Linked DNA regions of Oryzias latipes. The protein of the gene in region 2 interacts with the protein of the main gene of each other region in a pairwise test. Links are inferred from orthologs where the notes say so. Each region holds a gene or a part of one and is shown on either strand. Other genes may lie near its edges.

Region 1 (4,462 bases), on a different chromosome or scaffold from region 2:
TAGGGTGCCAGGAGGACATCTGCTGCTTGCTGGCAGTGATGTCCAAGCACCCCCCCTACCAAGGACCCTACATGTCTAAGGTGCAAATAAAACCGAAAGAGGGGGGGCCCACTCCGTACGGCAACCATAGGAGGGGGGCCACTGCCAAGTAGCCCCCCCCCCAAGGCGCATCGCAGGCTAGACCCCCCACCCCCTCACCCTAATATGAGGTTATATGAGGAAGGGGGTAAGTTGGGGACAGCTGGTAGACTGTCCCCCAGTGGTCAAACAGCTGTCCCCCAGCCCCCCCCCCAGCAAAGGGGCCAGGGCCACCCAGCCCAGGTGCCCCACCCCCGGAGGCGCCGACACCCCAGGCCCAGCACCACCCACCCCACAGAGAGAGAGAGGAGCCAGAAAGCGTCACCCCCCCCCCGGAGCAAGCCCAGGCCCCCACCCCCAAACGCCGGCCCTAGAAGAGCCCTGGTCAGGCCTCGACGGGACCGAGGCAGCCAACCGGCCGGGGAAACCGCCGATGGCCTCAGCGGAGACCCCGACCCGTCAACCCCCCCCGGGCCTGAATTAAACTTATGGCTCCATGAGAAAAAGACTCGAAATAGTTGGAGTAAAGAAAAAAAAAGATTCTGCAAGTTGTGCCACCTAAAGAGATGAGTTTAGACTGTATTGTTCATCAACTGAGAGAGACAGAATCTACAAAACAAAGAGGGAAAAATAAATTCACAATATGATTTTTAAACAATGTATTTGTATAATGAAATGTGTTCCACTTGTTACCTGTATTAACTGGTGATCTGTATAAAAAAATACCTGTCCACACCCTTAAACAGTCAGACTGAGACCTCTCCATTATGGATAAGACCAAAGAGCTGTCAAAGGACACCAGAGACACAATTGTAGACTTGGAAGAAAAACTGGAATGAACCAATCTACAATAAAGAAGCAGTTGATTGTAGAGTAAATAAACGCCACTCGCTGTGTTTGAGGGTGAAAGAATGCTGGGTTGAGTCCCAAGCATACCATACCCACTGTGAAGCATGAGGGTGAAACCATAAAGAGGACAGGGGGACTGATCCATATGAAGGAAAGGATGAAGTCAAGTGAGAACGTGAGCGAAAACCTCCTGCTATGAGTGAAAACGCCAAGGATGATACATGGATGGCTCTGAGGATCCCAAACACATCACCCAGGAAACCAGCAGATAAAAAGCTTTTGAAGGTTTTGGAGGGATCTAGCCCGTCTCTGGACCTCAGTCCAACAGAGAATCTGTGTTTTCCAGCTACAGCTCCACATCATCACATCAGCTCTCGAGAAGATCTGCATGGAGGAATGGGCCAAAATAGCAGCGAAAGTTTGTTCAAATCTCATGAAAATCTAAAATGTTTGACTTCTGTCATTCAAAACCAGTTATGAAGTATTGGAACAAACTTTAATTATTGACTAAATGCCTATTTTCTGGATCATTAAACAAATAAATTATTTAAAAATCAAACTGTGTGATTTCCTGCCTTTTTTTACATTCTGTCTCTCACAGTTTAATTGTAGCTATAATAGACCTCATCTTTTATAGTATGACAATTTAAAGAATCCCCCCTCCTTACGCTACAACAAAACAACTGTTTCTCACTGTTTTTGCTGACAATTTGAAGAATTTAACTGTTTAAAAAACCCACATTGACGAAAATGGTGTTTTTAACACATTATTGTGGCTTTTTTCTCATGATGGAGGACATATATAGAGAAAATTAAGCTCAATTGCACGTTTCTGAATAATTCTATACTGTTTGGAAAAGATCGTATTTGTGATGTGGAAAATACGCGGGCCATGCCACAGTCCTCCTGCTCTGCTCCATTCTGATGCACCTGCAGGTCTGCGGGGGGGGGGGGGGGGGGGGGGGGGGGGGGTCAGGCTCAAGTCCCGGCTGGGTTTTCCTCCAGGAAGTCCAGCTTCCTCCCACCGTCTAAAAACATGCTTCATAGGTTTATTGGTCACTCGAAATTGTCCCTAGGTGAGAATGTTAGTGTGTGTGATTGTGGCCCTGAGACAGACTGGCGACCTGTCCAGGGCGTCCTTTGCCGTCACGGGATAGGCTCCAGCAGTGACCCCGTAAGGGACAAAACAGGTTTGTTTGTATGTCTTTGTTTTCCTCGTCTGAGCTGGACTCTGGATCTAAACTGTTCGACTAGAGAGCTTCATTATTACTCACCAGGTTTGTTGTGAGTGGTTGTAAGCTAGGGGAGAGCATGTAAACAGATGGATGACGGGGAGTGGAGGGGGGCTTTTTCCATGCCAACAGTCACATTTCTAATGAACTCCTGCTGCCGCTCTGAAGAAACTACGTCCCACAAAACGACACAGGTTTTCTGATTTTGTTTAAGAACAGTATAATCATTACTAAAAACCCACTGGGGACGTTTCAAAACAGACCAGAGGATGATCGGAGTGGGACTTTAAATGTTTTCAAGCTCCAAACCGCCCTTTTTATCAGATTTGTGGAATATATATGCCAAACTTTGTCAAATTGTGTAATCTTAAAATAAGAAAAAGAGATCCTGAGATTTCGTACAAATACCAGGGATTGTAACTAAAACGAATATTGTATTAAGTTGGTGCTTTTAAATTAAAAAGGATATCAAATATTTCCCGGTCGTCGATGGGATCATGGACGTCTTCGTCCTCGTCGGCCGCCGTCAGCTGCCTTTCCCCGGACCGCTGGAAGATGACGGGGTTAGCGTTCTCCAGCTGAGACCCTCCGGACATTTTTCACTATGTTCGTCAATCAGCACTAAACATTCAACTGCCCATGTATGCAGGCGGAGTCGTGTTGCTTTATTATGTCGACCTTCTCACAGAGCACTTCCGGGTATGACGGATAGCAGCAGCGGACAAAAAGCCTGCGAGGAAAATTAAAGTAACAAATGCTGAATGATTTTGTCCTAAGACCATCAGCAAACCCACTATTATTAGTTTAACGAATACAATTAATAACTTTGTTATTATTATTGCCTGAACTAAACCAATAAAAACGAATTTCGCAATGAGTTATCATAACTGCAATAGTACAGAATATCAGCTGAATACAATAACAAAATTAACTATGCTTTTGTTATCGGTCTAATTTCTACCAGTAGACAGACTTTTCATCATTAAAGCAGTGACAGTAATTGAGAATTATACAGTCAATGCATTAAAGGGAAACTTAAACCTGAAATGTAGATGCTATATACCGCCACCTGCTGGATGGGAGGGGATCAGACAGTCATAACTGGATCAAAGACGGAGGAGAAACTAAACTGTTAAAGTTCAACAGAGGCAAAGCCAGCCACTCTTTTCATTCACTCGTCATCCATCCCTCCATCTGTCATTAGTGTCCAATATTTATATATTGAATATATCCACTTTATTTATATAGCACTTTTTGAAATCCAGATTACAATATGCTGTACAATTAACATAAGACAGAATCCTGATTAAAAACAGTACCGGACGTAAAAATAAAACCCAGCACGAAACAGTGATAGCGTTAAAAATCAATAAAATCATAAGTTTAAATTTAAGAACCAGTGAAATCATTAAACGCACGCATATAGAGGTGGGTTTTTAAAAGAGATTTAAAACTGGTAGGTACTCAGTGAGCCTGATCCCTTGAGGGAGACTGTTCCAGAGTTTTGGGGCTCTTATAGCAAAGGCTCTGTCTCCCATGGTCTTCAATCTGCATTGTGGGATTGTTAAAAGGCCTTTTGCTGAAGATCTAAGATTGCGTCCAGGTACATAAGGAACAAGCAGAACAACCAGATACTTAGGGGCCGGACAGCAGAGGGCTTTAAAAACAATCATTAAAATCTTAAAATCTATTCTAAAATGGACTGTGAGCCAGTGCAGAGACGCTGAAACTGGAGTGATATGATCTCTCATTCTGGTTCCAGTTAGGAGTCTGGAGTTGATACACACTCTGCTGTGAAAGGCATGTGTAGAGTGCGTTACAATAGTCCAAGTGGGAACAAATTAAAGCGTGAATTACCATCTCGAGACATTTTTTTGATAGGAGAGGGGTTATGCTCTCCTATCTATTTTTTTACATAATATTTTAAGTAATTCATCTTTGTCATGTGCTTTATTGATACTTCAGGATTCTTAATTTATTACATGAGAAATCATATAATAAAATGGTTACGGTAGAACAGGGGTGGGATTATATAAATTCGCTTCCTTCCACTTTCAAGCAATAATTAATTTTATGTCTAATTATCCCAAGTTTGATACGTCATTGTGATTGCTTGAAATATATGGAGTGATATTTCTGCCACCAAGTTGCACACAAAACTTTCTATGTTGCACACAAAACTTTTTAAGTTGCACACAAAACTTTCCATGATGCAGGTGAAAATTTTGTTTTGCTTTCAAACTTTTTTTTGCTTTCGAAAACGTATTTTTTGCTTTCGAAAACGTTTTTTGCGTTTGCAAAAC
Region 2 (4,588 bases):
ATCACTTTTGTGAATAAAAATAGAACTTAAACTTTACATTTTACAATCATTCAGATTTATAAAGATAACTGTATAAGCATGACTTTATATAGCAAAAGAAAAGAACATTTAAGTTCAGCACAGGGTTTCATCCAATTGCTGGTGTCTCCACAGCAGGTTCAGTCTTCTTCTTGAAACCTCCAAATTGCAATGTCTCCATCATCACTGCAGGAGGCCAGGAGGCCGGCCTCCTTTGGGTTCCAGGCGACGCAGTTCACATCCTGACAGTGAGCCTTCTTCACCTGAGCAGCCAGCGAGAACACCGGCTCATCTGCATGGGCCGCGAGATCCTCCCTAAACACTCGTATGGCGTCGTCGCCACAGGCAGTTGCTAGGGCACCGGTCAGTCGACACCTACGCAACAGACAGTTGTTTGAGCCATAATAGTAAAGGGGACAAAGATTCAGCCGACTGATGACAAGCGCTGTTTTAGTGGTGGTACAGCCAAAAAAGCAAAGAAGAAAATCTGTTTTGGCAACTTTTTAAAAACTCTGTAAATAGAATCTATTTTTAAAGTAAAAAAAAAAAAATCAGACACCAGACTGTAGTGCAGGGGTGTCCAACTCATTTTGGTTCGGGGGCCACATTTAACCCGTCTGATCTCAAGTGGGCCGGACCAGTAACATAAAAGCAAAATAACAGCTTTGTTTTAGTTTTTTATTCAGTTGGAAAAAATGTCTCAATCAACATAGTAGCCTAATCACTTGGGGCCAATGGAGCTCAAATAAAATTAATTTCAATTAAAGAAAAGTTGGTCTATTCAAATTAATGCAGTCTGAATATTTTACATCTGACACTGAAGCAATCCAGAAACTTTTCTTTATGATAAGTCTCTTAGTGGTGCTGAATGTCATATTCTTTGAGCACTGCGATGTTGATGACATACAAAGCATTTGGGTTTTACATTCAGCTTCGTGAAAAAAAGAAAAAACTCTGTCCAATTTTCCTGGAAGGCTCTTCCCTCCACTTCACGTTTGACAGCATTTTGGTCATTAGGGTGTCGCTAATGATCATCCTTATAGCAAGATAACAGCGGTAAGGCTCATAGGGAACCAAGGTGCATCCTACCCAGACGCAGAGCTGTTATGTTTCGCTTTTGGCACATGCAGATATTTGCTGTTTCAACTGTTTTTCTTTTCCTTTACTCCCCCTAGTGGCGGAATTGCACATTTCTGTTATTTCTTTAAAAAATCATAATTCGCCACAGGAATGGACTAGAAACTTGCTTTCTTTTTTAATCATCCTTTTGATTTTTACTCTTCATGTGTGGGCCGGAGTAAACCACCTGGCGGGCCGGATAAGGCCCGCGGGCCGTGTGTTTGACACCCCTGCTGTAGTGTAAGTATTTAGTCTTACCAGGCAATGTCGTACACTGTTCGTCCATGATAACCCGACAGAGTGCAAACGCACTTCCATGACAAATCACCTAATAAAGCAGACCAAACAAAACATTCTGTGATTAAAAAATATCCTATTTTTTTTTATTTATGTCATAAACTACCCCTCTATCTTCTCACCACTCTCACTTGGATACTCCTTCCAAATCTTCACAGTGCGGTCATCGCTGCAAGACGCCAGCCTCTGTCCCGTCACGTCGAAACACAAACTCCAGACGGTGGACGTGTGTCCCTGCAGAGTGGCCCTGCACTCCCAGTCATCATCCTCCTCCTTGTAAATACAGATGTTGTTGTCGTAGCTGGCAGAAGCCAAGAGCTGCGGAAATAGAATAAAATACAACTTTATTGATCCCACAAACGTCGTTACCATGGCTCTATTAAAAACAGCACGTAGATCATAAATATGGCTAAAGATGCACTTTAACAATTAATAGCAACAATAATAAAACAACTACATGATGGTGAAGGACTGAGTGCAGACCTACCTCTTGCGTGGGATGCCACACAACATGCTTTACATCTTGTGTGTGCGAGTTCACCACTGTAACACACTCGTACTCATCTTCTTCGTCCACTGTGAAGAAGGAAAACAAAGGTTTACAACCCAGCTCTATATGTTTTCTGTGACAAAGGATTGTCCTGCAAGAGCTGGTGAGGACACAAACCTTCCCAAACCCAGACACTCTTGTCTCGGCTACAAGTGGCCAGCAAAGTCCCTGAAGGGGCCCACGCCACGCATTTGACCTCGTTTTCATGACCTTCCAACACAGTTAAGCTCTAGAAGACAAGAAAAGAGTCCAGGTGGAGCCAGAACACGTGTTAGATCAGAGGTTAAACGAACCTTACCTCAAAGTCGTCGTTCTTCTTTTTCCAGATGCATGTCGTCGCATCGAAGCTGGCGGAGGCCAGATAGTTCCCACAGGGAGACCAGGCTACTTTCCTCACAGTGCGCTGGTGTCCGTCCTGCAGAACGTTTTTACAAACCCAAGAGTCACCTTGAAAAGGGAAAACATGAACTGTAAAAAAGGTAAGGTCATCCAACCACTGATTTTAAATCGGCGTAGCAAAATTCGAATAGAAGGCTCTTTGTCTGTCTGAGTCTGACCTTCCTGTCCCCATATCCGGATGGCCTTATCGCCACCACACGAAGCCAGCAGCGCACCGCTCGGGCTCCAACTGACGAACCAGCACCGAGAATCTGGGTGTGCGCTGAGTTTCTGCACCAGAGAAATAGCCTCCTTCATGGCAGAGCTCCAGCAAACGTGACTCCTCTGTCTGTCAGGCGTCGACTCGACACTTTTCTCGATTTCCGTTAACCAAAGATTTAGGCTAAAAAGAGTCACAAATGAGGAAAACGACAGACAAGAGGACTGCGAGTAAATTAATACACCTTTATGAACATTAAAACAAAAGGAGGGGGAAATTAACCAAGGAAAATTGTTCACACAGATAAGTTCAAAGAAGCGTCAAATTAGGAAATGCCGCCATGTTTGCTTATCGGGATCTGGACCCGGTGCATTATGGGTTGATCTAAAATAAAACGTTTTGATGGTAATATTTCATTTATATATTTTTAAAGAAAGTGATCTACCTATATATGTATTTTTATAATATGAATCTATATTTACATTACTGTTTGCAAAGAAAATTTCATGCTAAACATTGTGTACATTTCTATTTTAGTTTCCGCTGGGGGCGGTAGTGTACAGCAAACATTCTAAACGTCACGAAGAAGAATGGCATATACAGGAAGTTAGGGATTTTGAGGAAAACAGCGTAAGCTATCTTTTGTTTTGTTTTGTGTTCCTTTTTGTATCATAGAGACGGACGGTTTTATCAGCGGGATTTGATGTTTACAGGTTATATTTTTTCCCATTCGTTCGCTAAAAAGTGTCTTTCCTCCGAGAACTGGTGACGTAAAGTGTTTATTTTTTTTAGTTAGCTTCAGAGGCTAACAACAGAGCTAAAGGCCCGCTTAGGATCTGTTCTTTGTGTTGGCTTTTCCTTAATATTTTTTGACTACTTTAGGGAAGCGGTTATTGTTGTTTTTATATTGTTGAGCACTTTTATCGCCACCGAAATCTTTGACATATCCTGGAAGACAATTGCCGTAGTTTTACTCTAATACCACAATAACCCGGTACTACTGTCAAGAGGAAGACAGTGCTAAGAGGAACCTACCACTTCAACAGAAAATTCGCCATTCGGTCAGCTATGTATGCCCCACCGGGTCCCGCTGTCTCCGGAGGTCGGAGGAGGAGAGCCGGTACCTCACTTCCCAAACAGCCGGAGCGGAGTCTAGTGTCGGCCCTGCCCGGAGCTTTGTCCATCACAGCGCTGTGCACGGCTCTGGCTGAACCTGCTTGGCTCCGGATTCACGGAGGCACCTGCCCGAGACAAGAACTCGGGGTGGCAGATGTCTTGGGATACGTTGATCCCAATCTTTTGGGTGGTAAGAACCAGCACAAAGTCGTTGCCACTCTAAGCTGAGGATCATGGAGTGCCTTAATTTATATGAATTTGTGGCACGTCTGTCTTTTCAGATTACTGTGTGAATCCGCAGACCATCCTGCTGCTAAGGGTAATAGCTGCCTTCTGTTTCCTTGGCATCCTGTGCAGTCTAACTGCGTTCCTCCTGGATGTGTTTGGACCCAAACACCCTGCCCTAAAGATAACTCGCAGATATGCTTTTGCACATATACTAACAGGTATCTACAGTGCTTGTTTTCATTTCTAATAAAGATCAAACACATTGCTACAATGTAACTGGTTTCTTTGTCTTTCCAGTGTTGCAGTGTGCCACAGTCATAGGCTTTTGCTACTGGGCATCGGAACTGATCTTGTCACTGCAGCAGCAACACAAAAAGTACCATGGCTCTCTCATTTACGTCACCTTTGCCATCAGCTTCTACCTGGTGGCAGGTGCTGGTGGAGCCTCCATTCTAGCCACTGCTGCAAACCTCCTGCGCCATTATCCCACCGAGGAGGAAGAGCAGGCCTTGGAGCTGCTCTCAGAAATGGAGGACAGCAGCGAGACTTTCCCTGCTGACTATGACATTGCCAACCAGTTTCAGCCACCTCCTGCCTACACACCATAATGCCAGCAAAAAGCGGCGACATGGCCTTGGGTTGTCTTTCCTCTCTGCACAGCT

The links.
Region 1: the proteins of ciao1 (region 2) and fam96b interact in binary tests that used the Homo sapiens proteins (3 or more experiments, as listed by UniProt). The two-hybrid records come from large-scale screens. The link is inferred for Oryzias latipes from reciprocal best matches to the Homo sapiens genes CIAO1 and CIAO2B.

What each region holds. Positions count from the first base shown.
Region 1 is NC_019873.2:4,896,332-4,900,793, reverse strand, and holds the start of fam96b (mitotic spindle-associated MMXD complex subunit MIP18), read right to left. Parts: upstream 2,873-4,462; 5' UTR 2,756-2,872; coding exon 2,629-2,755; intron 1-2,628.
Region 2 is NC_019867.2:18,361,101-18,365,688, reverse strand, and holds the start of ciao1 (probable cytosolic iron-sulfur protein assembly protein CIAO1), read right to left. Parts: upstream 2,957-4,588; 5' UTR 2,681-2,956; coding exon 2,542-2,680; intron 2,432-2,541; coding exon 2,283-2,431; intron 2,214-2,282; coding exon 2,102-2,213; intron 2,011-2,101; coding exon 1,922-2,010; intron 1,753-1,921; coding exon 1,557-1,752; intron 1,466-1,556; coding exon 1,396-1,465; intron 394-1,395; coding exon 159-393; 3' UTR 1-158. Other genes in the region: tmem127 (transmembrane protein 127), read left to right, coding at 3,651-3,888, 3,980-4,144, 4,224-4,534. UniProt on the Homo sapiens protein: Key component of the cytosolic iron-sulfur protein assembly (CIA) complex, a multiprotein complex that mediates the incorporation of iron-sulfur cluster into extramitochondrial Fe/S proteins.